Linked DNA regions of Lonchura striata. The protein of the gene in region 3 purifies or fractionates together with the protein of the main gene of each other region. This does not show direct contact. Links are inferred from orthologs where the notes say so. Each region holds a gene or a part of one and is shown on either strand. Other genes may lie near its edges.

The links.
Region 1: the proteins of H2AZ1 (region 3) and MRGBP purify together in Homo sapiens (affinity purification with mass spectrometry; 4 studies listed by BioGRID and IntAct, with this or other methods). This does not show direct contact. The link is inferred for Lonchura striata from reciprocal best matches to the Homo sapiens genes H2AZ1 and MRGBP.
Region 2: the proteins of H2AZ1 (region 3) and CHD4 purify together in Homo sapiens (affinity purification with mass spectrometry; 3 studies listed by BioGRID and IntAct, with this or other methods). This does not show direct contact. The link is inferred for Lonchura striata from reciprocal best matches to the Homo sapiens genes H2AZ1 and CHD4.
Region 4: the proteins of H2AZ1 (region 3) and TRRAP purify together in Homo sapiens (affinity purification with mass spectrometry; 3 studies listed by BioGRID and IntAct, with this or other methods). This does not show direct contact. The link is inferred for Lonchura striata from reciprocal best matches to the Homo sapiens genes H2AZ1 and TRRAP.

Annotation. Positions count from the first base shown.
Region 1 is NC_134619.1:5,558,605-5,566,237, forward strand, and holds the start of MRGBP (MRG/MORF4L-binding protein), read left to right. Parts: upstream 1-4,618; coding exon 4,619-4,838; intron 4,839-5,719; coding exon 5,720-5,841; intron 5,842-6,380; coding exon 6,381-6,462; intron 6,463-6,963; coding exon 6,964-7,041; intron 7,042-7,633.
Region 2 is NC_134604.1:29,474,623-29,482,292, forward strand, and holds the start of CHD4 (chromodomain-helicase-DNA-binding protein 4), read right to left. Parts: upstream 3,001-7,670; 5' UTR 2,932-3,000; intron 2,423-2,931; exon of another isoform or gene 2,408-2,422; intron 2,151-2,407; 5' UTR 2,076-2,150; intron 1,261-2,075; 5' UTR 1,192-1,260; coding exon 1,095-1,191; intron 1-1,094. UniProt on the Homo sapiens protein: ATP-dependent chromatin-remodeling factor that binds and distorts nucleosomal DNA. Acts as a component of the histone deacetylase NuRD complex which participates in the remodeling of chromatin.
Region 3 is NC_134606.1:49,664,611-49,671,917, reverse strand, and holds H2AZ1 (histone H2A.Z), read right to left. Parts: upstream 2,676-7,307; 5' UTR 2,565-2,675; coding exon 2,562-2,564; intron 2,220-2,561; coding exon 2,142-2,219; intron 1,752-2,141; coding exon 1,638-1,751; intron 1,185-1,637; coding exon 1,055-1,184; intron 908-1,054; coding exon 846-907; 3' UTR 514-845; downstream 1-513. UniProt on the Homo sapiens protein: Variant histone H2A which replaces conventional H2A in a subset of nucleosomes. Nucleosomes wrap and compact DNA into chromatin, limiting DNA accessibility to the cellular machineries which require DNA as a template.
Region 4 is NC_134618.1:11,371,507-11,378,965, reverse strand, and holds the start of TRRAP (transformation/transcription domain-associated protein), read right to left. Parts: upstream 3,002-7,459; 5' UTR 2,886-3,001; intron 2,698-2,885; 5' UTR 2,631-2,697; intron 2,111-2,630; 5' UTR 2,060-2,110; coding exon 1,960-2,059; intron 1,819-1,959; exon of another isoform or gene 1,675-1,818; intron 1,597-1,674; coding exon 1,547-1,596; intron 594-1,546; coding exon 483-593; intron 1-482. Other genes in the region: TMEM130 (transmembrane protein 130), read left to right, coding at 3,936-4,011, 6,497-6,787. UniProt on the Homo sapiens protein: Adapter protein, which is found in various multiprotein chromatin complexes with histone acetyltransferase activity (HAT), which gives a specific tag for epigenetic transcription activation.

The DNA.
Region 1 (7,633 bases), on a different chromosome or scaffold from region 3:
CAAAACAGGAGATGGGACAGGACTTATTTCCATAATCACTGAGAAAAAAAGATCCAGTTAGTAGAACTCTGTGAACTCTTGTTTCAGAGACACACCGACTTTAGAGACCTATTTCTACAAATTCAGACAATCCTTGACAAATTACCTGGCTTAGACCTGGCTGGTTCTACTGATTTATCATCACTGCAAGCCAGATTTCAAGCGGACTTGTTCCTTCCCCAGCTTTCTGTGCTGTTTCCTGCAGCATTGCCTGCCTGGCTGTGGCTGCAGTTTTGCCCCTGCTTCGGATCCATCCTAGGAAACAACTTCAGGCATCGCCCACACATTGCAGCCTAAGGCATGATGCTGCTGAAAGATGCTTGTGAATACCCTTAGCAAAACCAAATGCCAAAAAAAAAAAAAGGGTTCTAAGAGGATCTCCCAGACCCCTGAGTGGTTCTGTGCGTGTTTAAAGGAGCAGACGTGCTCCATGAAAATCTGCTGCCACCCACCGCCACAGCGACAGTGAGTGTGGCTGCGGTTCCAGTGCCAGCTAGGCAGGGTTACTGCTCCTCTGCTTCCCCTCTGCAGATCCTCTCTGCCCATGCTGCCTCTTTGTTATTTTACAAATTAATAGTTGTAGTTAAAAAAAATTAAAATTAAATGCCCCTGAGAAGAAAGGATGAGCTGAACAAGCCTAATCAAATGTTGAAACTGTCAAGGAAGGGAATTCCTTCTGGATCTGTCCGGACCAGCTGGGCTAATGGGACTTTAGTTTGCTGGCAGGTACAATCAGTAAAAATCACCTTCAGTAAAACATACTCTGATGTAGGCTTGGGCTAGCCAAGGATTCAGGAATTGATCCTTGTGCTCAATGTTCAATTGAACCTTGAGCTTGTTCATTATAAATCCACTGGTTCGTCTTTCTGCCTCTCTGTAAGCCTGGGGTATGATGGATTTATCAAACTGAAAAATCAGTAAATGGCTTTTCCTTCTCCAATCCCCTCTGTGCTGGGATATTTTAAAGCACAACAGCAGCAGTAACAAACGCCTCTGTGCATGCTCAGAGATAATTATTTGCACTGTTTTCATCTACTTTGCCAACGTTTGCCATCTGATGCCCACCTAATATGAAGCTTCTCTCCGCTGGGAGAACGAGCACAAATGATCACAAGGGAAAAATTCAGTTTGGGAACATATGTTGGAGCAGAGTGGATCCCCTGTTTGACAGCTGCTGCCCTCAGCCTTGCTGCTTCACCCTCATTGTGATTTAAATTCCCTCTTTTGCACCTGTAAGAAGCCGTGCAGAGCAGATCTTGAGAGTGAATTTTCCATTCAATGTCCTTGTTTAATATAATCTAATACACCTTTAAGCAAAGAAAAAAGGTAATTATCTGGAAGAGGCAATGCTGCTCTAAGGGGCTTTGTGATAAGACTCTAACAACAGACTGCTTTATCTTCTAATAGGGAGAAAACCATCCCCATATCAAACTATCTTCACTGATTTATTAAATGATATGTAAAATAAACAAGCTCCAAGTTTTGGACAATTCCCTGGGCAGCTCTGTTAAAGCAAATTTTCCCACAGATTTCACACTTAAAAAAAAAATGGATTCTGAAAGTACAGCTAAAGCTTACAAATCTCATCAGAACTCTCTCTTCAGGAGGTCCTCCTCAGTCATAAAGGGTATTTTATTCAGAAATACTGGAATGTGCCAAGGTATGGAGGTTACTTATTTTGTAGGAGGACTTATGGATCTGAGAGGAATTTGTTGCAGGAAGAAGCTCCAGAAAAATGTACTTCTGCATGTACTTCTTACCTGTGTAAGAAAAAACCTGTTAGACTCTCTATTCAAGAAGTTCTAAACCACCCCCAGAAAAGGTTAAAAGATTTGGTTTAATGCAAAAGTAGGCAGATGATACTCTTTTACAAATGTTCATGAGGCACACCAAAAGTTACAGGATTTGGAATTAAATTTTTGCTTTGTTAAGGGCACTAGCACATGGTGTTCTAAAATAACGACAGAAATAGTTGTAGCCATATTGCTTATCCCAGAAATCCAACACTTCTAGGGAGAATGCCAAATGCCAGGCAGATTTCTCAGTTGTTGCAAAGTCTTAGGAAATTACTGATCATCTTCTGGTGGGGGAAACACTGATCCAGCCAAGGGCTCAGCACCCTTAGGTGACACAACAACCAGCCAGGTTTTTTAAGCAACCTAAAGAGTAGGGAGAAAAAGGAAGAAATAAAATCATGCACTTCTTACACAGCCCTTATCTGCTTAAACCCAAAAGTAGAATTTAAAGTTGAATGGGAGAAGTGCAATTTTTTCTGAAAAATCTGTTAACTGACTGGGAAAAAAAACCAAACACACACACAAAAAAAAACCCAAACCAAAAAAAAAACAAAAAAAACCCACAAAAAAACCCCAACCTAGTCAAATTTAATGAGGGAAAAAAATAAACTCTGGTCAAGATCCAGGTGGAGGCTGTACGTAGCATTATTATAGGCTCCCATATGTTTCCTAGAGGCATTGAATGTGACAAGGGAATTTAGACACACAGAAATTATTTCTGATTGAAACAAAATAGCAGCCAGTTTGTGCACATACTGCTCCTGTTGCACTAATATTATTGTACTGAATTGAATTGTTTTCAGATGCTGTTTTATTTTCAGAGGTAGGCATCAGTTTTTTCATACTCTGTTTCATGTTACTTTTTTTAGCCATCAGAAGTTAGTGACATAAAAATTGCTGTCTGAGTTGACACACTTATTCCCTCTTGATGTCTTTAAGTAGGAGCATAATGTGACAGATGAGTGCTGAAACTCAGTGTCTCACACAGGCTTAAAAATAAGTTATGCCTGCAAAACTTTGAAAACTGTTCTACTGGGGAACAATTTTTACACTCTGAAAATTTGCTTTCCTTTCTCCCCTCATACAGAAACATGTATGAAAACAGGGATTTAGTTGTGCAGGAGATCATTTCCTCCTGCTGTGCAACCATCACAGGAAATCATAAGCCTTTCTCTCAGTAGCAGCTGAAGACCAGGCAGCAGTGTAGATCAAATAAAAACTGGAAGATTAAACAGGGCTGAGATTTAGGGCTGGGTTTAACTGCAAAAACATGAGGAGCTGTCTTTGAGATTTGCAAAGTCCTGTGGATAGGTAATTTTGGTTCAAAACGAGGAAATCGGTGTGAAGCCTGAGCTGTGTGAAGGCAGACCCAGCACAGCCAGGACACAGGTACAGCAGTGACAGCAGGCAGAAGGAATAATCCTGAGATTCCTGTGGTCTTGATGCAGAGAAGTTGTTCCAGCAAGATCTCTGCTCACTCTGGAGCTCTCAGAGAAAGCTGTTCCTGGAGAACTTCAACAGCATCAAAGCCAGACTGGAGTCACAGAATCCTTTCCATTCCAAGAGGCCAGAATAAACCCCACTGGAAAAGAGGATTTGTATCCAGGCATCCACATCCAGGATTCACACAACAAAACTTCTCAAGGCTTCACACATGAGGTTCTGGGCTTAATTTATTTCAAATGTTTATTTAATGTTAGATTAACCTGTGTGGGGTATTAACTACATCAAGCCCAAAACAATGATACGAGTCAGCTCTTTGGGTATGAACAGGTACAGAAAGTTCAATTACAGAAAATTGCATATTTCCCTTCCTGCTTTTTATTATTTGGATAATTTGCATGAAAATAATATCTCTGCTTGTGAGTGTTTGCCCCCACTGCTTTATTATTCACTCAGAACACTCATTCCTTGCATATGACGCGATCGTTATTTGCTGTTGAAATATTTTTAATGTCACAAAATGGATTAAATCTTCAAGTGAGGAGTGAGCAGTTGGAAAGCCCTATCACCTAAGCAACAGCAGTCCTATTTCATGCTTGTGTGTCTAATTATACTTAACAAGGCAAAAACCCTTTATCGCCGAGGGAGTAATACGTTCCCTTTCTTCCCAAACATTTTTTTTTTTTTTTACATCTTAAAAGATGGGCAAAGCTGGTAGGTTCTGCATTTTGTAACCAAGCCAGGCACAGTTATTTGTTAAGCATCAGCGCCAGGTTGGTATTTGATATAAAACGATCCTGTTGTGTCAAGGAGCAGTCAGGGGGGTTGCAGTGCTTGGGACATCCTTCACCGTGGCAGCTCCTCGTGCCAGACAAGGACAGGCCATGGGGATAGATGCTGAGCTGGCCAAGACCTCACAGACCAGGAGGGGAAGCCCTGGGGTGGCCGAGGCAGCCGGGCTGACCGCCAGCCCAGCCGCAGGGCTCTCAGAACGCAGAGCCGAGCCCTGCGGAGCCCACGGGCACTGCAGCGCGGCCTGACACAGCAGCGCGCTCCCTCAGGCCCTTCCCAGCGCTCCCTAACGCTGCTCCCAGAACCCCGCGAGCCTCCTGCCGGGCAGAGCCGCGGGCTCGCCGCTCCTCAGGGCCGCCCACCGCCGCTGCCCGCCCGGTGCTGCCCGCCCGCGGGCTCCGGCGCTGCGAGCGCGGGGCTCCCCGTCCGGCGGAGCCCCCCCGAACCTGCGGGGCCCCGCCGAAGCTCCCCCGCCCCCAGCCCGGCCCCGGCGCGGCCGAGCCCGGCTCCCGGCCGGCAGGAGCCGCTGCGGGCGCGGCGCGGCGGGGATGAGCGAGGCGGAGGGCGGCTCGGCCGCCGCCGTGGAGAAGCCGCCGCTGCCCGCGGCCGGGCCCGGGGCGGCCGCGGCGGTCGCTGCCGCTGTTGCGGCCGCGGCGGCGGCGGCGGCCGGCCCGGAGCCCGGCGCGCCGGCGGAGGAGGCGGCGGTGGTGTGGAGCCCGGAGGTGGAGGTGTGCCTGTTCCACGCCATGCTGGGCCACAAGCCCGTAGGTGAGCGCGGGCCGCGGCCTCCGGGAGCGGCGGGGCCGGGCGCGGGCTCCGGGCGGCCGGGCCGGGCCGCGGGGCCGGCGGGAGGGAGCGGCGGGCCCGGCCGGGCCGGCGTGCGAGCGGCCGCGCTGCGCCTCCACGGCGGCTCGGAGCGGGCCGGGCGGCGCGGGCCCGGCTCGGCAGGGTCACCGCAGAGCACGCGGCGCAGCGCCGTGTGCCGGCCGGCCTGCGATAAATCCAGCGAGGGAGGCTCCGCAGCCGCTCTGGGCAGTGTGTTCCAGTGCTCGCAGTAATGAGGTTCTTGCCTGTATGCAGGTGGAGCTTCCTGTGCATCAGTTTGTGCCCGTTGCTTTATGTCCTATTGCTCTGCACCACTGAGCAGAGCCTGGATCCATCCTCTTGGCACCCCCCTTTTCAGAAACAATAATTCATAAACATTGTTTGAGATCCCCTCTTAGACATCTCTTCTGAGACTGAACAGACCCAGCTTTCTCTCCTTTTCATTGTCAGAGGGATGCTCCAATTCCTTCTCTCAGTGCAGCCACACCAGGAGCTCTGTGTCTGTATTGCAGTCAGGAGCCCAGAACTGGGCACAGCACTCCCTATACATCCCTTGGGATGTTTCTCACACAGCCCCTCTAAAAACTCTGTGTGTGTTAGAATTAGCCACAGGGGCACCCGCAGCTCCCTAGAGAACAGCACCTGCAGTGTAGGGTGAAAGATCAGCCAACCCCGCTGCCAGCTGTCTCTCCTGTTAATGTATGGATTCCTTGTAACAACATAGCTTTTTTAATTCATAAGTAAATAAATAAATCTCTTTATATCTCTAAGTATCATAACTAAAACTGTTAGCAGCGTTAATTGCACTGGGTTCTTCCCCCCAGGTGTGAATCGCCATTTCCACATGATTTGCATCCGGGATAAATTCAGCCAGAATATCGGACGGCAGATCTCATCCAAAGTGATCTGGGACCATCTGAGCACCATGTATGATATGCAGGCTCTTGTGAGTATATAGGGTTGGTGCTGCCACATGGTTTCATGGAGTTCAGAAGTTTTGCCAGGCCAGAATCACTGGGCCTGTCATGGTACTTAGAATTAGGTGTCATTCCAGTGAGTTGATCGGGTTTTCCCTGAATAAAAGTAGATTAGGTAGGAGACAATAAAGCCTGCAGTGGCTTTTTTTGGGTTTTTTTTTGATACCATGTTCTGACTTTGTTTATTAAAGTCACCTAAATTCTGATCCAGAAAATGTTGATATACATTTATAAGTGTCAAAGGAGAATGTTATCATTGTGTACATAAGAATTTGCTATGTTTGAGTTCCAAAAATGATCTCAGATGATGGTGAGTTGTGATCTTAGGTATCCTGACCTCAGTAATCAGTTTGATATTAGAAGCCTCCTGATTTTCTAACATCTGAAGTGTCTTGTTAAAAATTATATAGCTCCTAATTGCATGTAAAATAGAACTTGAGATTGCATGTCAAAATTCAAATTAAAGTCTTTACCAGTCACTCACAGAGATCCTTCTTTTCTTTCTAAGCATGAATCTGAGATTCTTCCATTCCCTAATATAGAGAAGAATTTTGCTCTTCCTGACGAAATGATTCAAGAAGTGAGAGAAGGTGAGATGTGATTGCAGGCTCTGATTCTTGGTTGCTTTATTCTCATCTCAGAATTTTTAACAAAATTCCCCCCAGAAAACATGTATTGTCAAATCTAATAGAAATGTACAGGAGTTTGACAGAAATCTCAGGTTGAACAGCGAGAGAAGGATTTTGAAATTTAGCTGATGTGTGTTATACAAAGTAAGAACTAGAAAATTCAAGCACCTGCCAAAGACTTCTTGGGATATTTTAAACTTCAGTGGAATGCTTCTCAATTATGAGGTACATTAAACTTTAAAAATTCAGTGAAAAATCTTAGCACAGATAAGACATTGCAATATGTTTTGCCCATGCAGCATTTCACTTTCTCATGTTAATAATAATTTCCTGGCACTGAATTATTGCTGAGCGTTGCATGGACTATTTGCAAACATACAAATATGCAGAGGCTACTAATCCAGAAAAAATTCACGTGGTTCTTTAAAACCATCTAACTAATGCTAACAATCCTTTCTGTAGGAAAAGTAATGATGGAAGAAGAAGTGAAAGAGGAAGTTTTAAAAGAAGAGATGGAAACGCATGCAGGTCCTGAAGAAGGTAATTTTGTAACTCTCTACTGTGTAATACGAGATTAAAAACCAACTGTAATTGAGAAATTAATGTTAAAATGTAAATCCAAATGCAGTGTACTGTGTGATTTGTACTCAGACTTAGCCTGTGCTCCTGCTAAGAACTTGACTAATAGTGCACAGAGTAAGCAGCTGCTTATTGAAAAGATTTCTTTTTTTGCTCCTAATTCATCTGTACAAAGTTGTATAGCTTTGGAGATTTTTTGCTTTAATATGTACTTGACAAACCCCTGGGAGTCTGAAGGAATCTGAGGATCTCTGGAAGAAAGCTGAGTCTGATTTTTTTGAACTTAAATGCTCTGTGTTTGGAACTTTGTAGTCATGGGGGAAATAGGGCCTATAAATCAAAAGAGATTGTAAAATTGCGTGCTGAAATGGGAAGGTGGGCAGAATGCTTATTTTATTTTATTCTCATTATCTTGCTGCTTTTAAATAAAAGGCTTGTTTTCCTAACACTTCGCTGTAGAACAAGTCAAATGTGAACAGTAGAGATCCTGCTATTTATCTTAACAGACCAAGCCAACTGCTAACTATATAATTTCATCATATTTATATCACTG
Region 2 (7,670 bases), on a different chromosome or scaffold from region 3:
CCTGGAGTCCCACGCCTGATCCCTGCCATATTCCCAACCAATGGATGTATCTTTGCTCCCGTGATACTGCAACACCAGGTCCTTCAAGGATCACACACCTTCTCCCCCAAGTTCTGATTTAGAGCCTCTAATGACCCACCCCTTCCAAGGTCTCCCTCAACCTCTCAATTTTGCAGTGATTTTACCAGTTTTTTTGCAAATAGATTTTCACTACTGATAGTCCCATACTGCCCAAGATCTCAGAGGTGCTGGAAAACTCAAGAGACAAGGCTTAAGAAAAAAATGCCAAACTAATAAAAATTCAAAACTCCACAGCACCATCTTCCCTCCTCCAGTTACATTTCTCATATATGACAAAACACTCCAGCATGAGTTAGTAGGAAATCCCACACTTGTCCTACAATTGACTATATACATCACTCCTTTTTCACAAGGAAGTGAAGAATCCAGATGCATGTCCACAGAGCAGGTCATCAATAGCAGCAACAAGAAAAAAAACGCAAACCAGAAGAAATTCCAGGGCTCTAACTCAAGCCTCATGTTGATGATGAGGATGCAAATACAAGGGGAAAAGCAAAATACAAGGACTAAAAAAAAGCAAAGGTGAGCAAGCAGCACGGAGTAAGAATCCTCAATAATTGGGTGTGGTGATGAAGGAAAGTGGGTCACGCAACAGCCCAGGGCAGTTTTCTCTGGACGTCAGCCGGTCTTAGTTCCCAGATGAAAGCAAGCCAGGCAACCTGCCCTTTCACATACTACCTCCTCTACCCCCTCCCCATTCATGAAAACTGAAAGCATTTTGGTACCCCGGTCAGAATTGGACGCTCTGCCTCCACCCTCTACACCTCCTCCAAGCACAGGCCCTGACAGCCTGCAATGGCTTGGAACAAAGTCAGCTCCACCTGACACAAAGCCTCGAGCCTCTCACTTCAAAGTAACCCTGGGACTCAGAAATCAAAAACATACGTGTGACTTGCAACAAAAAAAAAATTTAAAAAAAATTGCATTCCCCAACACATCACACACTTCACATATTCAGCTTGAGACCAACATTATCCCCACTGCACATGCATGCCCTGCAGGCCCCCCCATACCTGGATGCTGGGGGATAGCGTTGTTCAACAGGATCTCCATCTCATCATCATCACTGCCCCCTGAGCACGGTGATGGAGATCCAATGCCCGAAGCCATGTCCTCCACACCGCGGGAGGCCTGGGCTTACACAGGTTTTCTGTCGTCTTCTTGCCAGCCTGGCCAGTACTTCATTGAAAAGAAAAAGAGAAAGTTACAGCAAACCTGAACTCCGTTCTCCCGAGCAATAGTGCAACTAAGAGGATCTGTGAGAAAGCTTAGACAGCAACTTTACTGGCTTTGGAGCCTATGGATAACAGAATCACTGGCAGCAAGTATCAGTTTAGAGTTGTGATAAAGCAGGCTTTGGAGACACTAGATATTAAACTGAGTCAGCAACTCATCGCTGGCGAGGAAGCCAAAATAGCTGTCCTAAAGGAAAACTCTCCCGTCCTCTGCAGCCGGGTGCCCTCGGTTGTTTCTGCCTTGAGCCAGGAGCGGGCAGAGGGGCAAGCAAGGCAGCCGGGCTCGCGAGGGAGCCCCGGGGGCAGCGCGGCGGCTGTCAGCGCGGAGCGCTGGCCGGCAGCCCCGGGCTGGCACCGCAGCGCCGGCCCGGCCGCACACAAAAGGCCGGGCGGGCTCGGCGCCCCGCTCGCCGCCCCCGCCCGGAGCGGGGCCGCGCGGCGCAGGGCGGGGGCGGGGGGCACCGTCTCCCGGGCGGGGGCGCGGGGCGGGGCCGGGCAAGTCCGGCGGGCGTGCGGCGAGGGGCCGCCGTGCCCCGGGGCCGGCGCAGGCCGGGACTGCGGGCACCGGCGAGGCGGCTGCGGGGCGGGAGGAGGGGCCGGAGCCGTGCTGCGGCCGCCCGGGCAGGGGAACGGCGCGTAACCGGGGAAGCCGCGGCCGGAGCCGGCGGGGCGGCCGGCGGCGAGACGCGTCTGCCGGCCCGGACGCCCCAGGAGGCGGCAGATGGCCTCGCCCGCCCTCGTTCCCTCCCGGCTCCTCACCCGGCTCCGGACCCCGGCTCCTCTCTCGCCGCTGCCGCCGCTGAAGGGAAAATGGCTCCGGCCGCGGCACCGCCTCTTAAAGGGGAAAAAAACCCGGCTAGGCCCCGCCCCCTCCCGCCTACATCCCATAATATGCCCCAGGACCCCGGCAACAGGCCCCGCCCCCGTCTCCCCGGCAAACACACCCCCCCTTCCCCCCCCCCCCCGGCATCCCATAATACTCACCCTCCCCTCAGAACTTCCCACTCACTGCCCGGCCCGGCATCCCATAATAATCGCCACCCCTCCCGCCGGTAACATCCCATAATACTGCCGCCCCCCCCCGCCCGCACCTTCACCCCGAGAAACATCCCATAATACTCCCGCAGGCTCGCACCCCTCCGCTCCGCATCCCATAGTGCTGCCCCCCGCCGAGGAACATCCCACAGTGCTGCCCCCCGCCCCGCGCGGGACCCCGGGGCACGGCGCCCCCCCGCGCCTCCCGGGGCTGCCATCCCATAATAGGCGCGTCCCCCCTCCGGCGGGGAGCGCGCGCTGTGGGGACCCCCCCCCCGGAACATCCCATAATAGTCACACCCCGAGCGCGCACATCCCATAATAGTCACACCTCCCCCCTCACCCCCCCCCCCCCCCCCCCGCCTCGCGCCCAGGCAGGCATCCCATAATAGTCGCCGGGAGTCACCGTCCAGCCCGGCATCCCATAATACTCGCGGCCGCCCGCCCCGCTCCCGCACCCGCGGGGCTCCGCCGCCGCCCCCCGCCCGCCCTGCCGGCACCGCGGGGCCCGCGCCGCCCCAGCCCCCGCTCCGGCACGGGGCACGGGGCCGACCCCTGGCACCGCGCGGCCGCCGCGCACCTCCCGCCCTCCTGCGCGCTGGCACCGGCCCCGGGCACAGGCTCCGGGCACCGCCCTCCCACCGCCGACCGCCCCCGACCTCGGGGCTGAGCGCCCCGCTCGCTTCCCTGCCACGTCCTGCCGTGCCCCAGCCCGCACGCTCCGCCCGCCAGGCCGCAGGACCCCTCCAAGGCCATCCGTGCCCGGCGGTCACCGCCACCGCCAGCCTGTGTGCGGGGAGCCCGCAGTGACTTGGGTGCCTCCCCTGCACCCCGAGGCTTCCTGGCTGCTGGTACCTGCAGAACTCCCTACCCCAGAGATCCGCATTCTCCCAGGCAACTAGAGACAGGACGAGAGCACGTAGTCTCAGGCGGTGCCAGGGGAGGCTTAGGTTGGGCATCAGGAGGAATTTCTTCATGGAAAGGGTGATCAGGCATTGGAATGGACTGCCAGGGAAATGGTGGAGTCACCATCCCCAGAGCTGTTTAAGAAAAGGCTGGATGTGGCACTTAGCGCCATGGTGGTGTCTGGCCAAAGGTTGGACTTGATGATCTCAGAGGTCTTTTCCAACCTAACTGATCCTGTGATTCTGTGATACACGCCATGTCCATGTACCGCATTCCTCCCTGTCACCCAGCACCCTGCTCCCTGCTGCAGCCTCCACCAGGAAACGCATAGATTTGCACAGACGGGAACGGTCCCTCGGTGTAAGTATACTCCAATTATACACATGCAACTGTATCATTAATTTCCCATTAAACAAAATCACATCCCATAATGCCGCCTTATCCTCCGCTGAGCATTTTCATAGCACTATTAATCTCAACAAAGAGGTGCAGTCCTGTCCGTCTCTCCCAGTAAAATGTGTGGGTGTCAACAACTGCGCTCGTTGCCTCCGCTGTCCCACGCCTGGTGGTGCATGTGCACGTTTCGTCCCGCCACAGCGAAACACGCCGCAACACAAGAGGAGGATTGGCTGTTTACAGACAGCAACAAGTCGCTTACAGATCCTGCAACACAAGCCGGGCTTTGTCTGCTAAAGCTCACTGAAAATACATCCACGCACACAGGTGTTCCATAACGCCATCCCATCCCCTCGGCCGTGTGCCGAAGTGGCTCTGGCTATTGGCAAGCTCTCCCTTACCTGCGCATGAAGGCTCCGACCACCGCCTCGCACTGGCAACTCTGCTGAGATACCACCAGGCTCCACCACCACATCCATGTGCCCATCTCCACTGAGTGCTCCCGCAGAGTTCCACAATGCACAGTACGTGTGCAGCCACTCCACAGCACGAGTTGCGCCTCCCGTGCCCTTGTTCCCGCCTCTCAGCAAAGACTAGACCAATACATCCCAACAGGCTGTTGTGTAATCCATGTTCCTGCACATACAAAAATCCCACCTACCTCTCCAGCCATCAGCAGCACGCACCCTGTACTATCCCTGTACATACCTTTGCCCACATGACAATGATGCTCTCATTTATCTCAGCTCCATGGAGGAAAAGTGGTAGGAAAGAGCACACTGCTCTTCCAGAGATGCTCCATCCTTCGCATAGATCAAGCAGACCATCCAGCGCTACAGAAACGTGTGGTGGACGACACCACCACCAAACTCACACGGATCTCTGCAAGGACTTCTCATTCCCTCTTGTGTGTGCTGACACAATCCCCTCTTAACAGGAGCCAGGCAGACAGACAAATTCCCGAGCTGAGCAGCCCAGCACCGACCAGTGCCCATGAATTCCATATTTGCCTCTTTCCCCAGTGGCTTGGCCACAAGGGGAGAGGTGTGATGCAGATGAAGATGAAGATCCTGCAAAGGGAGTCAGGTGCTGGGGCTCTCTGCAGGTGATTCCCAAGGCTCCTGCCAGCATGGTTATGGTCTGAAGAAGGCTGTTTGCTAATGGTTTTAGGCAATGTGTGCCCCAGTGCCTCCGAAGGCTCATTCCCAATGAGCCACCACCTCCCTGAAATCTTTCTCTGCATGACAAATTAGTACATTTTTATCCCAAGTGTACCCAAGGTTCCCCACCTCAGCTCCAACTCCTTTTTTCCTTTTTAACTTGAAGTTTCTTAGTCAGCAGAAATCTTAATTTTCCCTCAAAACAAAAACTCCATATGGGATATACATGATTATGATCAAGATGTTTCTACTGTTTGTGAGGGCCAAGTAAATTAAATGGATTAAATATATATATATTTCTAAATATTTTCCTTTGATGAGGAAAGGATAGATTTCCATGAGATAGATTTCCAGTTATTTGGCTGCTTTAAACTTGGAAGTTGCCATACCTTACTGTGGTTCAATTACTTACCCAGTTTAATTGAATCTTTTGAGTTTATAGCACTTGGCTTGGAAACAATTACAGTAAGATCTGTGTAATTCAATCTTACCCTACCTGTGCTGATGGGTGTCAACACCCCAAAACAACCCCCCAGCATACTTCCCATGGGGAAAATGCCTGCAACATCTTGCTTTGGTGTTGCGCCCGTGTTGGGAAACCCAAACTGGCCAGAGGACCTTCCACACACCCCTGCCCAGCTCTGCTTCCAAGAACTGGGTAAAGTGGACTCTGTACTCTGCGCTCCCAGCAACAAGCTGGGGTGACCTCTAAATAATGTCTGTCATTTTGTGTGGTCTAAGTTAGTCAGGGTTCAGGTCCCTGCACGAGACCCAGAAGAGTCCTGCCCCATCCTCCTCTACCTTGTGGGCAGCTGCCCCTGTCCAGGCTTTTACCAGGCCCACAGCCCTTTCTCACTTTCACTTTTCATTTATGTTCCCTTTTAAACATCTTTCCCCAAGGTAACAAGAAGAACAAAGCTTTTTACATTGTTTCACTCTGGAACTCAGGGTTGTAGGCTGGAAAATTCAGTCCTGTGTATTTCAGTGCTGCTCAGTGTGGACGCAAGGGAGGAAGGAACCCCAGAGCATTTTGGAAAGGGGGAGACTCTCCAGCCTAGCATGGACCGTTCGTATGTGGGACACAGATAACAGACTACAAGCTTGCCATGCTGGTGCTGCAGACAATGTGATCTGAAAGATCGGTTTATGGTCTTTCAGGCTATTTTTTGTCAGTTCCTCTTGCGTTCCATAACAATTCAGACGGGTTGATGGGTTTAGATGTTGGGCACCGCAATGCTGCCACTGTATTGCTTCATTTGTGTGCTGGGACACAGCCATACTTCTGTTCTCTTCATTTTTGCTGTTTTTCAGACTGAGGGTTGCTCCAGCCAGTCTGTAATATCTCTACTGTCAAGTTACATACAACCAGTAACATGAAAAATATCTTTCAGTGTCTGCGTAAAACTGGCAGCCCCCGATGTACCTGTGAATGTGGTGCTGTTCTGAAAAGGCTGCAGCTACATTTCACCTCTTCCTTTAACCTAGTTTTGACTGTTTGTATCTAATATGGATGGTCTTACTTCTCATGTCTGCCACTCAGCAGCCCTGTAAGCTTTCCAGATCATACTGAGGCTTGCCATGACTGAACTAAGGTTTTGCCACTTCTGCAAAGGAACCCTGAAGATCCCAGCATTTCTGAGAAGCCTTGCCCTTTATTTTCTCTTTGGTAAAGCAGAGAATTTTGCCCTAGATAATTTTTTTGAGTGGAGAGTGGGTATCGAACTCTGAGATAGGTAATTTTTACTTTGGAATTAGCAAGGAAAAGGTTCAAACTTTCATTCAGTATCTGAGTATTGTCCCAGAATCTGTGTCTCTTCAACAACCAAGTCTCCCTGCCCCCATTTTAAACTATCTTGTGAGAATTCTGTATCCCCAGCAATAGCCAAAGTAAATGTTCTGGATTCTGCAAGTCTCCCCCAACACTACAAAAGCTTTTTCCTCTGCCCAGGATACACTTATCCACTCCCAGCTTTCTACAAAGTCTCCATGGCAAGCTAAGGAAATCTAAATGACCAATTTTCATTGTTGTTTTCTTCATCATGCACCCCCTTCTATTTTTCCCCCCTTATTTAGTTTGAGTGAGGTCTTTTTCAAAGAAAAGCATGAGCTTACTTGTTTAACCCAATGGAAGTATTTTTACTTTGTCAGAAAATGACACAGGAAAGTCTCTTCATCTTGTGGAGAGAAGACAGCCCTTCCTGTCGTGTCCAAGGAGCTGCTCCTTCAGTAGACAAATGCCACTGGAACAAGAGACAGATAGAGACTTGCACACAGAGGATTTTGGAGCATACAACCAGAATAAGGTCAAGAACATGTGCTCCTTTTCTGAGAACATCCTACTGTCAATGGAGGATCGACTCTCTAAACAGCCACCTAGGTGAGGGCTGCCCATACGCCAGCGTGACTCTGCGTCTACTTCCCGTTAGGGGAAGAGCATTTCAGACTTCGCTCGGCACTCGTCATGAGCCTCGTCTCCTGTTTTGCCAGGAGAAGGAGGGGGCAGGGAGAGCAGCGTGGCCGTGCCGCACCGTGTCAGCCAGATGTGCACGGTGCAGCAGGCAGCGCTGGCTGCACACAACTGTGGTGGGGGAGAGACAGAGAGGATTGGGGGTTGCTCAGCCCCCTGGAAATCAGAACGGCTGATCTCTATCTGTGTGCGCTTCGCTGGTTTGTTTGCTTTAAAAAACATCACATACTTGGTACTGACACCTATAGCTAAGGTTACTCGATATTTTCCATCACAAGTCTGTTTTCAGTTACTCAGAACTTTGCCAGACATCAGATAGTCAGATTCGAATTTTCCACGTTTATTTTCACTTTTTTTTTTTTTTTCTGAAGATGGAGGCACTTAGTAAGG
Region 3 (7,307 bases):
GCCCAGACCCCCCCCTGAAATCCACTACTGAGGTTTTTGCTGCATGGCACAATTTAAAAGGCTGCTGCAGTACAGTCCCTGCTTTTGTGGGTGTCTAGCCAAAGCTTTTGCAAGCTGAAACAGTAAGAGGCCAGACCCTAACATGAAATTATGTGAAGCATGGAATTTAAACAGCCCTTGAAACTTATCTTTTACCCTCCTCCGTGACAGACCCTCACCCTCTACAAAGGCTGACACTGATTAAAACTGGCCTTAAATAACATCAGCCTTTTATGTGCCCTGCTAAAGAAAACTTCAGCACATGGCACAGTAGGCTCAATTAGGAAGAATGTAACTTCACAGGACAAAGCCCTGTGCACTTTCACTGCATGGCATTTACTGGCTGCAGTAGTCTTAGGCTGTATTTCAAGATGCCCCAAGCCCAGCAGGAAGGGTTGTCAGTTACTTGCTCTCAGAACAACTTCAAGAGCAGCACAGTGGAGACCAGATTTTCCAGTTAATGAAAGACACAAATCAGTCTTGACATAACATTTATTATTTCCACTCTAGTAGATGAAAAGTCTGTACAAAACCAAACATTTCCTTTACTTAAGCCAATCTAAAAACAGTCAGCTCAATTACAACCCACTACAAACACAATAGCTTCTTTGAAGCCATGGTAACACTTAAATATGGTTAAGACTTCAACGCAGAAATTTGGTTTGTTAGAAAGCTCAAGGGAGCTTTAGCTTCTCAAAGTTAAAAAAAGGCAAAATTGTGTTTCACAGATACAGTCCACTGGAATCACCAACACTGGACAAATTAAGTACTTTGAGTCCTGAGATAACAAGGAATCCTGGTATGCTTTAGACAGTCTTCTGTTGTCCTTTCTTGCCAATGAGAGACTTGTGGATGTGTGGTATTACACCTAAAAAAGAACAACAGTTAAGACCATGCTGTTTTTCTTCAATTTTCCTAAACTTCACACTTCCAATAAAATGACAACACTAATGAACTTCAAGTCTGTGAGAGTTCATGCCACCCAAGCACCCATAAACAGCAAGTATTGACATACCACCACCAGCAATTGTTGCCTTGATCAGAGAATCAAGCTCTTCATCTCCTCTAATGGCAAGCTGCAGGTGACGGGGAGTGATACGTTTCACCTTCAAGTCTTTGGATGCATTTCCTGCCAGCTCAAGGACCTGAGACAAGACCATTTTTCAACAGTTATACAATCAAGTGAGACCAACAGCACAGTCTTAGCTATTCAATTCTCTCGTCCAAATACAGTGTCACTGCCATTAACACCAAAACAGAAAACAATGTCTCTTTTCAAGGGGTTCCTCCTTTGGAGCTTCACATTTAGTTTTCCCAATGACAGAGTAAGTCTTCTACAGCAGATAAGACATGCTGTAATGGTCCATTTTAAAAGTTATTTCACACACTGCATTTTTCCTACAAGGCAAGCTGCAGGGCTTGCATGAAATATAGAGGAGTTACTTTTCATGGTCTTTTGCTTTTTGAGACACTTTAGAAGTGCTTCAAAGCACACAAAGAGTTCGCAACCCAGTCCAAAATGTCAAATACAGTAGGCACTGGTTGTTGTGCCTTCTGGGGATTGATCAATTTGCTTGCACCCCTTGCAAGCATTTTACCTCAGCTGTCAGGTACTCCAGGATTGCAGCACTATACACAGCAGCTGTGGCTCCTACACGCCCATGGCTAGTTGTCCTAGACTTCAGGTGCCTATGGATGCGGCCAACAGGGAACTGGAAAATAATGGAAGTATGAACAGGCTGTGACGACAGAAAGGCTCTGCACAAAACCCCATTGTGGGCAGCAGAATCCCAGTGGCAGAAGCACAGGCTGCATTTCAAACCTTGAGAATACAGTTAAGACACTGCATGCCGAACTCACATAAGCAACTTTCATGATTCTCAGCACAAACATAGCAATGGCCACAAGGGAATTACTTTCCTCCCTGCACAGATATGCAACGGTCTAAAACCAGCTGGGTGTGCTGATGTCTGCTTTACAATCCTTATATCATTCCAGGCAACAGCCAGACAGCAGAGTGTGAAGGTTTCACACTGCACAAACAAACCAACAGATGAAGGCCAGCCTGACTTTCACTCACCCACACTTCAGCCCCTGCTCACCTGCAATCCAGCCCGCTGGGAACGGGACACTGCTTTGGTCTTGGTCTTCCCAGAGTCCTTCCCGGCTTTCCCACCAGCCTAGCAATGCCAAGAGGAGAGCAGACGCTGACGTCCCCCACCGCGCATGCGCCCCGCCCCTCCACCACCCCCCCTCCCGGCGCAGTCACCCGCGCGGCCGCGAGGCGCGTGCGCGCCGCTTGCCGCACCGCGCGGCACAGGCCGCTCCCCGCGCGCATGCGCGGCCACCGCTCCCCCGTCCCCGGGGCGCCACTGCGCGTGCGACCACCCCCTCGCCCCCCAGCCGCCCCCGCCCTCCCCCCACTGCGCCCGCGCGGTTTACCCCCCCACCATCAGCGGCACGGAGCCGCCCCGGCCCCAGCACCGCCGCCCACCCCCAGAGCGACCCCCGCGGTTCCTCACCATAGCGAACCGGAGCGCAGTGCCGCGCAGGGGAAGGCTGAAGCAGAGAGCGTCCCGCACGCACCGAGCCCGGCCGACAGCACCAAGCTGACTCGACCCGCCGCGATTCAAACTGCGCCCACTCCCGCCTTCCCCCGGCCCTTTATATCCGCACCGCGCGGCCACATCCGGGAACTCCGGCCTCGCCGCCAGCCAATGGCGGCGGACGGGGCGGCCGCTCTGCCCCAGCGACAACCAATGGCGTGCCGGGGCGGGGCCGGCCGCGCGAGGCGGGGAGCGGAGAAGCCCCGCCCTCACGGGCCGGTGCGAGGCGGGGCGTGGCGGCGGGGCGCGCTCCGTCGGGGCTCCCGCCGTGTGCGGGCTTCCTTCGCCTCGGCGGCGGCCCCCCCTTCTGAGGTTGGGTCTCCCTGGGGTGACCGGCGGCACAGACCCTGCCCGGAGTCACTCCACTCATTTTCGCGGGGTTCTGTATCGCCAGGTCCCGCTGTACTCGGGTCGCTCCAGAGCCGCCGCACTGCCGGCGAAGCTTTCTCTCCACAGTGGAGTTAATTGGCTTTGTGTGCAGAGCGCCTCAGGAGCAGCCCGAAGGACACTGTCCCGCGTTTGGGATGAGGAGCTATTACACTGCCGAGGACACGAGGCTGCTCAGGGGCGTCGAATAAAGCTCGCATGAACTCCTCAAGATTCCGGGCTGGAGAAGTGCCAACCACTACACATGTGCACTGATTTTTATTTTTACCCCTATTATAAGCAGGGGATGCACCAATACCTAGGACCACCCAGCCTCAGACACCCTTGTGTCACCGGATATTTCACAAACTACAGTTAAAAGCAGTTTATCATTAATTATGTTCAAAGTGTAACAATTAATGCAGTGCAAATTTCCTCACCTTGGGCACTTCAAAATCCCTGCCTGTGTTTCCTTAAATGAAGCCTTAACCCATTTGGGTTTTTTTTTGGGTTGCCATTTTCAGTATATTGCCATTTAACCTCAGAGCTCAGCTGATGCTGTTTTTGGTTAATCCTATATTTTCAGCTTCAAAAAAGTAACAATTCACTGTGCTCTTCCAGAACACTGTAAATCTGTATTATCTGAGAGATTTACTGTTCATCTGTGAGCATGCAGTGAGCTCAGAGAGAGACCTCGGCCTTCAGATGGCTGAGCAGCTCTTTAGAGAGAAGACGAGATAGATCAGTCATGCAGTTTACCAACCTGATCACAAACCCACCACTTTGGGTTTGTAGTTTGTATTTCCTCTGCCTTGATATTGAAGGGTCCTGAGCACAATGAATACTCTTACAGCCAGACATTTAATGGGACGTAGAGCTGAGGGCATAAAGTTCTCATGAGAATTCTCTCTACACCATAACTTTTCCCCTTTATTCAGGTCTACAGCAACCAAAGTACTCAGAGCTCTAAGACAGGATATGTCCTGATCCCTAGAGCTTCACTTAAAGGTCTTTCAAGCTGTTCACACAAGTAGAAAAGATTTAAAACTTTGTGGCTCTTATTCTCCCACATCTGACTGCAAATACTTGGTGCCCTGGCTATAAAGGACCCTTTGCTTGAATCTCTACACAGCCTAAGGCCACATCATCAATTACTTCACCACCCTGTTTCGGGCATCTAATCCCAGCTGCTATCATCTCTGGGTGGGGAGACCTACTTCCAGGCACATTCACAGAGAGGCAGGACTGAATTGAGAGCAGACACTCCTACATGCAGGGATCTAGCAGTTTGTTTTTATGTAACTGTCTGGTGCTTCTGTCTATTTGAATCATCAGTTGTTTATACTCTCCTTCCGCAAGAAAAAAAGATAAGAGGGTTTGAAGGATTTTGAGGGGAGAGTTGGTTTAAAAACAAACCTCAAGGTTTTACAAAAGCCTGCAGAACTTAAGATTTCATTCAGCATGCTGTTTAAAAACTATTTGTGTTGAAAATCAAGGATCCATGTGCCCTTTACCATGCAGGAAAAGAGAACTAAGTTGCAGGCCATCATACCCTTGTGGAACACCATTCAAGATGTAGGAAGAAACAAAAAAATTATTTTTCTCTTTGGTTTCTGTCCACACAAGTCCTAGGAAGAGGAAGAAGGTCTCCTATCAGATAGAGACAACCCCTGCCACAGACATTCCCTGTTTCACACATGAACTTTCCACACAGCTCACTTTGGCTGCTTTGGAGCTCCTTACAGCTGGGATTACCAGGCAAGGCAGCCTAGCACCAAAGATAAACCAAAGCAAGGATATATATTTACCACACAGATCAGGCTAGGGATGGGTCAGGTAGAGTACATGAAACCAGCCTCAGATCGCCTCATGCTGGCTAGCAAGATACTCTCACGAGCACAACCTGAACTCCCCTCTCTGCTATTTAAAGAGATAAACTGAAACAAACTTAGGTACACAGGAACAATCCCAAAGCAACTTCAGACCCAGCTGTGAGTGCAAATAACTCAACCTCAATCCCACATGCACAAAAGGAGCCAAAGGGAGTACTCACCAGCTCCATGTTCCTAATGATATTTATAATATTTGTACTGAAAGCCTATCTCCAAGGGTCTTCCCTTTGAAGGCCACAGTGGTGAATGTTTGCATCATTTACCCAGCACTTGTGCCCCAGCTTTTTTACTGTGAAGTTTTTTCCGGTGCTTCTCATTGCTGATGTTGTGTGGGCACTGCAGTGCTGTCTGTGCTGGGCAGGCTGTGCCTGAGCTGCTTTTGCTGCAGGATCACACACGGCCCAGCATTCAGGCTGCTGCTGCCTTGTTCAACCACCTGCCTGGGTTTTCAGAACTTTAGAATTGGAGTATAGTGTTGTTTTCTTTTCTATTCTGCCTACTACTTGGTATTATTTCCTTATTATTTCAAATTGCCTCAAAAACATAAACAAATTCTCTAAAGCGGGTACTACTTCTCAGCCCTCTCTAAGTACTGGGCTATGGACATGATAATATTTGGACTTTCTTGAATTCATTTTTTGCAGAATTTTAATTTCTGCAGAAGTGGTGGAGATCATCTTTAGTGGGCTGATGAAGCATTCCCAGAAATCTCTTTGTACCACAGCCTTCAGAACTTTACAGTTTCTGGATCCTGCATAAGTTTAAGTGGGAGATACATGTCAAGGTGCTCAGCTCTGCCATGGTATTCCCAGGATACAAATCTGGATATCTGTGGAACTTCAAAAGCTAGGCAGAGAGCATTTAAGAAATTAATTTTTTAGGTGACAGCTAAGCAGTTAAGTTTTTAGTACACAGTTTTTAGTCAGAGGTTTTAGTATGCTAAACTTTGAACCAACTCCCCTTAGGTGAGTAATATAGTTCGTAAGGGATTATTTTTAGACACCACTTAAATTATTCAGGCTCTAGTTTTTGTGGTGAGATTAATTCCTGTATGACTTGTATTTGCCCCTGTTATTATTTGTCAAATAGCAGGTTTGTGCTCAGTTGGGTCTCCTCGCTGGCTGCTGTATTTAGGTTCAGGAAAATCCCACCCTCTGTGCCAGCACTGTTGTATTGTTTGTAGTGATAATGGATTCGATTGTTCAGCTTCACATATATAGATATAGCTATTTATCTGTTATCTCTAAACAGCTTCACACATTGTAGGAATGAGATTGGTGTGAGATATGTGGTGAAGGGATTACCATGGGCCTGCTGGCCTGCCGTTGGGGGGATAGGTTATTTTATCTGTAGATTGTAGGTGATTCTAATCACTGCAATCCAGCTGGAAGAGGGAGTAACACTTAGGTGTCACAGTCCTGTTCTGCCCCTGCTTAAGACATACAGCATTTGTAATCTCTCTTTTTATAGCTCTCTTTATTCCTCATTTAGGTATAAAGGGTCTACCCCTCCCCTTTGTGATAGCAGCTAACAGAATATTTGACTACATTCTCACTTCCACTTCTCCAAAAAATGTGATTTGGTATTTGAAATCCTCCATGGCAGAGTTTGAAAATACTATTACCTTGCAGACAAGTCCAAGAGTTTACTCCTCTCTCCTTCCCGAAATTTGGGATACCTCTTTTGTAAAATTTGCACCTCTAGAACATACCTGGAAGTACTTGTACATAGTACTATATATTTATATTTTGCACATCTAATGAATCCATAGTTGCCAATCTGTAAGAATTACAGTCTGTTGTTCCACAACTGTTTGTGAGCCTGTATTTGTGTGAGTTCTTCTGAACCCAGCCAGACTTAGAGTGTTTCATTGGTAAGTTGATTTGTGAATCTCTGGTTGTGAATGAGACCCACTGTATTGGTGCCTGTGGGATCTTATTGAATGCAGCTGGGCTTACAGTGCTGAATTGGTTATAATAAAAAAATTAAACCTAACTGCACCTAGCGCCTCTGAGGACCAACTGGAAAGCAGGAGGGTTTCTTTTCCGATAAATTTCTATACTTGTAACAAAATACAAGTCTCTGTAATAGTTCTGCAGATAACACTTGTGTACTGATTTCAGGAAGACTTGAATTACCCCTATAGCCACACTATAGGGTGTTAATGGTACACCTTTCTGTTTGCTATTAATAATGTCGTAATGACTAAACTGTATTAATATTTTTGTTCTTGTTTAGCCAGCTCTGAAAGGAAACTACAGCTAGTTAGGCAAGGTGAAATAAGATGGTGACAGCCAGAACTCCTTAACCTCATCCTTCCCATTGTCTTACACAGAAATTTATCCTTCAACACTCTCTTTTTGCTGTGTGCTTTGCTTCCTCTTATCTGTGCTTTGTTCAGTAT
Region 4 (7,459 bases), on a different chromosome or scaffold from region 3:
AACCCAACAATTAGTTGCAGCATCTTTTTCAGCTTAATAATTGTGCATGCGAAAACAGAAAAAAAGCCAGTTTATTTCATGTAGACATATACAAAGGCATAACTCTTCCTACTATCCACCTATGTGAAAGAGGCAAATTTAACTAATTTACAGTTGTAAAATCAGACTTTTTTTAAGAAATGCAATTTTAAATATTTAATGACAAAGATTCAACTTTCTCCTTTCATTCCTAACTTTCAGTAAAGTCAGTAATTTGCAATGATGTGTAATATTTCAGTAAGAAAGCCAACTCTGTTACACCTACTTTTCCTCCTATTTCACAGAAGCCCAGATTAGCAAAGTTTATAAGTAACTTATTTAGAAACCTGACTTTCTCAGTTCCACTGCAAATGACAGATCTATTTTTAACAAGTCTTAAATCAGTTCATTAGGTTAATCAGAACTTCACAGCAAAAAGGCAAGAGATGCTCCACACAACTAACCTGTGCTGGCTTCTCCTGCAAAAACTGAACTTCCCCATCCTGTAGAAAGGTGAGAAACCGAGGGATGATGTGTTCCAGGAACGTCGAATATTGAGGGGATGATGTCACATTCTAATTAAGAACAAAAAATGAGGGGTTATAAAACAGACATCACATAGATTACATTCAGTTACATTCAAAGCCACTATTAAACGTTTTCCGTGAATTCTGAATAGATTCAGTGACTAAGTATCTGTTGACACTACAGAACCATGTGAGCTCCAAGTGAACATTAGCAAAACAAATACAAGTCCTTCCCTACTGAAGGGAAGAGCAACGAGAATCAATTAAGTCTTCAGATTCTAACAGATCACCAGACTAAGCAGTTAAAACTATTATTTTCATCAGATAATTTTTTTTAGAAATAGCTTAAGCAGATAAAAAACCCCACAAGTATGATTTTAGTTTTCTGTAATTTCAGAACAGGCACATAACAATTAAGAATTCAACTAAAGAATAGTTTCTGCTAACACGAGGCTGGGTTAACTTTCACATTTTCTCTGCTGCTCATCTAAAAAGATGGTCCACCACCATGCAAAAGATGTCACTGGAGACATCTCCACTCCTGATGTCAGATTCTGCATCTAACAACTCCTCTCTCACTTCCACACCATGGAATAATCAGAGGAATCAGAAGGGCCTCTGTTTCACAAGAGCACAATACACATTTGAACTAAATAAAAGAAAGCTTTAAATACAGACATTTCATAGCATTCAAAAAATAGAAGAAAAATGTCTTACTTCACTTTTATTTAAATGCTTAATGAATAAATAAATATTTGGCAATGAAAGCTCACTAAGCCCAAATGCAATTCTTCAACAGCCTGGTTCATTCCTAACTACAAACCTAGAATCAATGACTTGTAACCATATCATTAGCCACAGGATGCTACTATTAATATTTTAACTGCATAACATCAGAAATTCAATTAATATGCATGAGGCATAAGAAAGGCTGCCATTGCAGAAAGTTAGGGGGTTTTTGTAGGAGTTTTGTTGCTTGGGGTTATTATCTTTTTATTTACCTCAAAATTCTCACTGACTTCTTGCATCATTTTCAATTTGGTTTCATCAGCTGAAAATGGAAATTCAAGCCGAAAAATGTGAGTGTAAAACTAGGCCATGAAGGAAAACAACAAACTCATTGATCAAAGAAGCAATCAGATCTTATCAGTTTAGCTATCACTGCCCAATTATAAGACACACAGTTCTCTCAAACAAGCACACACGACTGCACACACACACACAACTCACTCACTTCGGCTCATGCAAGTGTTTCTCATCATTTTGCTTCTTCAAAAACCAAAACTCAAACAAATTTCAAAGTTAATTTGACAGATTTCACTGTCTCTTTCATCAACTGTCTGAACAAGTTGGCAACACTTGTGAAACAAACCACTGAAGAGCTGCACTTTTCAAGAAGAAAAAAATCTCTTACGTGTATTGACATCTGTAAGAGCAGCCACAAACTGAAGGTATTTTTTCATCAAAGTGGTTTGGTCCACCACTGTGGGCCCTTGTGCTGAAACAAATGCCATCTTGGCGGAGTAAAGATCAGCTTTCAGTACATAAAATCAAGATCAAGACGCCTGTAAAAGAATATAGAATTATTTGTCAGTTTACATGGCTTGTTAACAGCAGCTATCCCATCACCTGCATCCATTCTTCTGACATATTGAAGAGGACCACCTTTTCCAAAAACTGTAACCTTTGCTTAGGCTTACAAATACAACACCAAGCATGTACAGGACTCATCGTGACAGGAGTAACAGATAAAAGGGTTATTGAGCTCTCCTCGGCACGAACACTGACGTGTTCCGCTCGGATTCCTCTCTCGCAGCAGCAGGCTGCAGGCTCAGGGATGCTCCCACCGCGCACACCTGTCAGCATCCTGCCTTCCGCCGCACTTACAGCTCCCCTGGGACACACCCTGGGGACTCGCTCCGGGCCGCCAGCAGCTCTCCTGCCCCACAAGCTGCCTGTCCCGCTCGTAAAGAAGCCCACATCACATCTAGCTTGAGGAACCGGCCACCTCCCTCCTCCCCTGGGGGTTCCCCATCAGTTTTGCTCAGGCCAGGTCCGGCCCAGCCGGGACCCCACGCCCCTCACCTTCCCCGCCGCAGCGCCGCTCGCCCGGGTCGCTCCCCGCCGCCGTCACGCCGAGCCCATCTCCGCCCTGCGGACACGGGCACCGTCAGCGGCCGCGGCGGAGCTTTCCGCGCCGCCCCTCAGCCCCCCCGGCGCCGCGCTCGGCCCAGGCCTGCGGCGGGGCTCGGCCGCCGCCTCCCGCCCGCAGCGCGCCGGCCCCGCCTCCCCGGCCCGCTCACCGCGCCCAGGCCCGGGCCCCACCGGGGCGCTCCTCACCCCGCGGCTCCCCGGGCCGCCCGCCCGCGGCCCCCCGGCTCCCTCCTTTGTTGCTCCCGGAGGCCGCCGGCAGCGCATGGGCGCGACGGAAGCGCCGAGCTCAGTTCCGGCCGCCTCTTGCCGGGGCCGCCTCTCCCCGGGCGGAGGCGGGCGCGCAGCTCCGCCGCGCCGCCCGCGACCCCCGCCGACCCGGGACTCCCGCCCCGCCCCGGCGGGCTCGCCCCGGCTGGGCGCTGCCGGCGGCCGCTGCCTGAGGCGAGCCCCGCCCGTCCCCGCGTCCCCCGAGGCTCCGCTGAGTGGCCTCCGGTAAGAGCGGGCGAGGATTTACCGGCCGTGACCGGTGCCTCCGGCCAGCGCAGGGCCCACTCCGCCCCGCCGGTGCCCCGGGGGAGCGGCGGCACCGCCGGAAAACGAAGCGCGCAAAGGCTGATCCGCCGCAAGAAACAGAACGGCGGCCCGGAGCGAGAAAGGGCTTCGGATGTTGAGTTTAAGAAAATAAAAAAAATAAAAGTAAGCGAATCAAAACCAAAATGTACAAAACAAAACAGGAAAAAACAAAATAGAACGACAGAAAAAGCACACTAGTAAACCACATTCTGGCGCTTTTGCTGTGGCTTCTCTCCAGCAGCGCACCCGTTACAGGCCGTTCGGAGCGCCGCGGGACCGCTAACAGCGGCCGAGCTGCCCCCGGCAGAGGCATCCCCGCGCTGCCGCACTGGAATACTTTATCTGTGCCTGCCGCAACCAAGGCGCAGCACAAACCCCTTCCCAAACGCTGCGGGATGTCCTCACGCCCTGAGCAGATGCGAGGCATTTGTGGGTTTTATTGACCATTTGCTTAAACCGCCGGCGGTTTTGGCCCCGGCGGCGCTGGCAGCGCGATCCCGCAGGAACTGCCCCCGGCAGAGGCGGGCTGGGCGCCGCCGCGGGGGAGCGTCCCGGGGGCGCGGACACCGGAGCCGCAGCGCCGCGGGGGCAGCGCGGCCCAGCGCGCCCAGACCGCTCCCGGTTCGAGAGCCGGCCCCGGTGCCGGGCCCCGCGGCCGCCAGCATGCGGCGGCTGCTCCGCGCGCTGCTGATGCTGCTGATGCTGCTGCAGCTCGGCCGCGGTCGCTCCCCGGCCGCAGGTAAGGAGCCGCCGGTCTGCGCTGGCATCGCCGCTGCGGAGCGGGCGAGGGGTGCGGGATGCTCGGGGAGAGGGCACAGACCTCAGGAGTGAGCTGCATCACGGGTGGGAGTGGTTCCCTGCCCGAGCCTGATAGATGTGACAAGGGATGGAAGCAGCTCTGGGCACGCTCCCACCACCCCAGACTTTATTCTCCGGCGCTGCGATCTTGGTGCCTGCAGTGAAGGGGGGGCATCCCGGGAAGCCGGGGGTCTGCTTTGCACTGCTAACCCAAAAGCTGCACGTCTGCTTCCCCCGCTCACCCCGCGCCGCGGGTCACAAGGCACCTGGGCAGCTGCTGTCCCTCGCCTGTGGGACTCGGAGAGCTCCATTCTGCAGAGAGGTCCGAAAGGCAGGAGAAATCCCTGAATTGGATGGAGTGTTTTGATGTGCCAGTCACTCCTTGGGTGACCTTGGTTTAGCCACTGAACCTCCAGCTGCTTCAGCTGTCGGGCCAGTGTGGCCCTGATTTGTAAAGCACCGTGATAACCTCCAAGGAGAAGTGCTAGATAAGCATGAGGTAGTCGGCTATTTTTTTCCCAAATTCTGCTGAAACCAAGTGGAACATAGCCTGAATCTTCTAGAGACAGGAAACCTCCCTCTGCCAGGTTACATCAAATCACAAGCATTTCTCTTTTAACTGAGAAAATGGAACTCAGGGCCATTTCTTGTGCTGTAAAATGGGAACAGTGGAGTTTTTTCTCAGACAGTAGTGTTAAAGTTCATTTCTCACAGTTCTTCTGCCTCCAGAATTGTTCAACACCTGTGATCTGTAGAATAAAATGCAGGCACAAATGCCATCTCTTTCATCCCATCCCAAGCTGATGGGTGCAGAAAAGCCAGTGTAGGAGTTAGCTAGCCCCAGTTCTCCCTTCATATTAGAGGTAATGGATGAGTGAGAAATACAGTCTCTAAAGGTCAGAGATTCAGGTCCCTGGTAGCAGTCTGGTGGCTGCTGAAAGAGAGGATAATGAAAGGCATCTGCCTTAGAACCCTCCAGCTCTGCTGCTCTGCCCAGCACTGCTGATGAGAGGAGAGCCAGGCAGAACTCTGATACAGGGAAGTGACATGCTCCACGTTGGAGGCAAGCAACCAGATCCCAACTCTGCTCTGCTCCCAACTCTGTCCCAATTTACAGCTATTTTGCATTTATTTTTGTTTCGGGGCTTGGGGGTTGATTTTTTTTTTTTTAACACATGCATATTCTTTAATGCTTCTGCGCTGCTATTAAAAAAAAAATTAATGTATTCTTTCCACAAAACTCAACACTGTCTATTGCAGTAGTTCAAGATCTGAAGTAAGTAATTTGAGTAAATATGGCAGAGAAGATAATGGTGAGTCATTCAGAGCAGCAGAGCTGGTTCAGTATCACAGGTCCTGCATTCTCATGACTTGATGTGTCATAGAATCAGAGCATGGTTTGGGTTGGAAGAGACCTTTAAAGGTCATCAAGGTCAAGCCCCTGCTACAAGCAGGGACATCTGCAACTAGATCAGGTAGCTCAGAGCCCAGTCCAATCTGACCTTGAATGTTTATACTGGGCAACCCATGCCAGAGTTTCACCACCCTCATTGTGAATATCACCTCCCTCAACCTGCTGGCTGATTTTTATGCAGCCTCATATCTTTCTTGGGTGCACATTGTTGGCTGAAGTCCACATTTTCCTCCATCAGTACTCCCAAGTCCTTCTCCATCCCTTCATCCCCCAGTCTGTACTGAATATCAGGTGTTACTCCAATCCAGATGCAGCACTTGTTCAACCCCATAAGGTTCCCATGGGCCCGCTTTTTCAGCTTGTCCAGGTCCCTCTGGACAGCAACTGATCTGCCACTACGGCATGGTACATCTTTTATTTGCCTTGGGACTTTTGGTCCTTCCCTGGAAAAGGAAATTTAAGGTGGACCATAGCACATAAAATGCTTTTACTGAGTTTTTTTATGCTTACTTGTGAGGAAAGTTATATAAACTTTTCAATAGAGCTGGCAAAGGAATCTAGTGAATGAAATCTCACCTGAGTTTGAAAGCTTACATTTTTAGGACAGAGATTAGGACACTGAGCCTCTTCCAGTAGCTGGAAATCTAGTGATCATGTTAGATCATTAGTGACAATGAACCTACAGCCAGCACCCAGCTCTGGGTATAAAACCTCATCAATGCTTTTGTGATGTTCTAGACTGAAGCTGTCTTCTACTATGAACATTTCTAGGACCCAGTCTGACATGTTGTTAACTGCTATTTATTTGAACTCATATACACATGCAATTGTTTCTGTTCCAAATATTTAAACAGTAAAAAATTATGGTGGTAGAGTCTTTTCTGGGATGAGTGTCATTGTGAGTTATATAACTAGAGCTGACTAGCTAAAATGTATGATAACGCTAAATAAATGAAATTTAAAATGCCATGCAAGAAGGTTTGGTTTACTCATTTTCTTCTGCTTTCCACAGAGTTGTATAGTCTGGAAATAACCAACAATGGTCCCATCACAACGGGAGCTCAAGCTACTGTTCAGGCCAGGCTAAGAATGAAGAATGAAAATGTCACATCAAACTGGTATCACTTTAACTGGGTTTATGCTCCTCTGATTCTGATAGAGAAATCAGAGCAGCAGTTTAATTCCATAATTAATGTGACTGGTCAATTCCCTGGCACTTTCCCCGTGTCTGTCTGGGTGACTCACAAAAACTGTTGGTTGTGTCGGCCGATTGCAAGAAACATCACGGTGCTTCAGATTACAGGTAAAATGGGGAAAATGGCTTCACAGCCTGTACCTCTCCAGGAACTCAGTATATATGCCCTTGCAGCATCAGGAAGAAAGCCAGTGTAAATATGGCTTCTGATAACAGAGTTTGATTCGTAGGCCTGTGGCTGAAGGTGGGTTTGGGTGGCATGGTGCACTTAGTACCATTACAGCCACGCTCTAGTCTCTCTATACCCAGGAAGAAAGTGTGATGCTGCCTGTGTTTTCCTCCCTCTGTCACTTAGAGAAACTGAACTAGAATCCAATGCTTCAGCAGCTGCAGTTCACACATCAGCATGGGTCAGTGATGTCCAAACTCCTAGAACAATGCTTCTTCTACCTTCCAGCATTTCTAGACCTAAAGTTAGGATGACCATCAGCAGTGCCAATTTACGGCTTTTCCCTCTTGCGTGACACAGCAAATCTTAGGCCATCAGCACAGCAGAGCTTTACATTTTCTTTTAAAGCTCTGTCCAAGTGTACTGAAATTGTATCTGAAATCATGGCTGCATTTCTAAATGTTGTTAAGTGCAACTTCAGTTTTCTGGGAGTATTCGTAACCATGCATATGTTTTTTTATTTACAAATTAACCACTGGTGTGCTGTGGTTAACTAAATCTCAGGGACTGACAGCGCCATTCCAACACTAATTGCAATCACTATTTGTGCA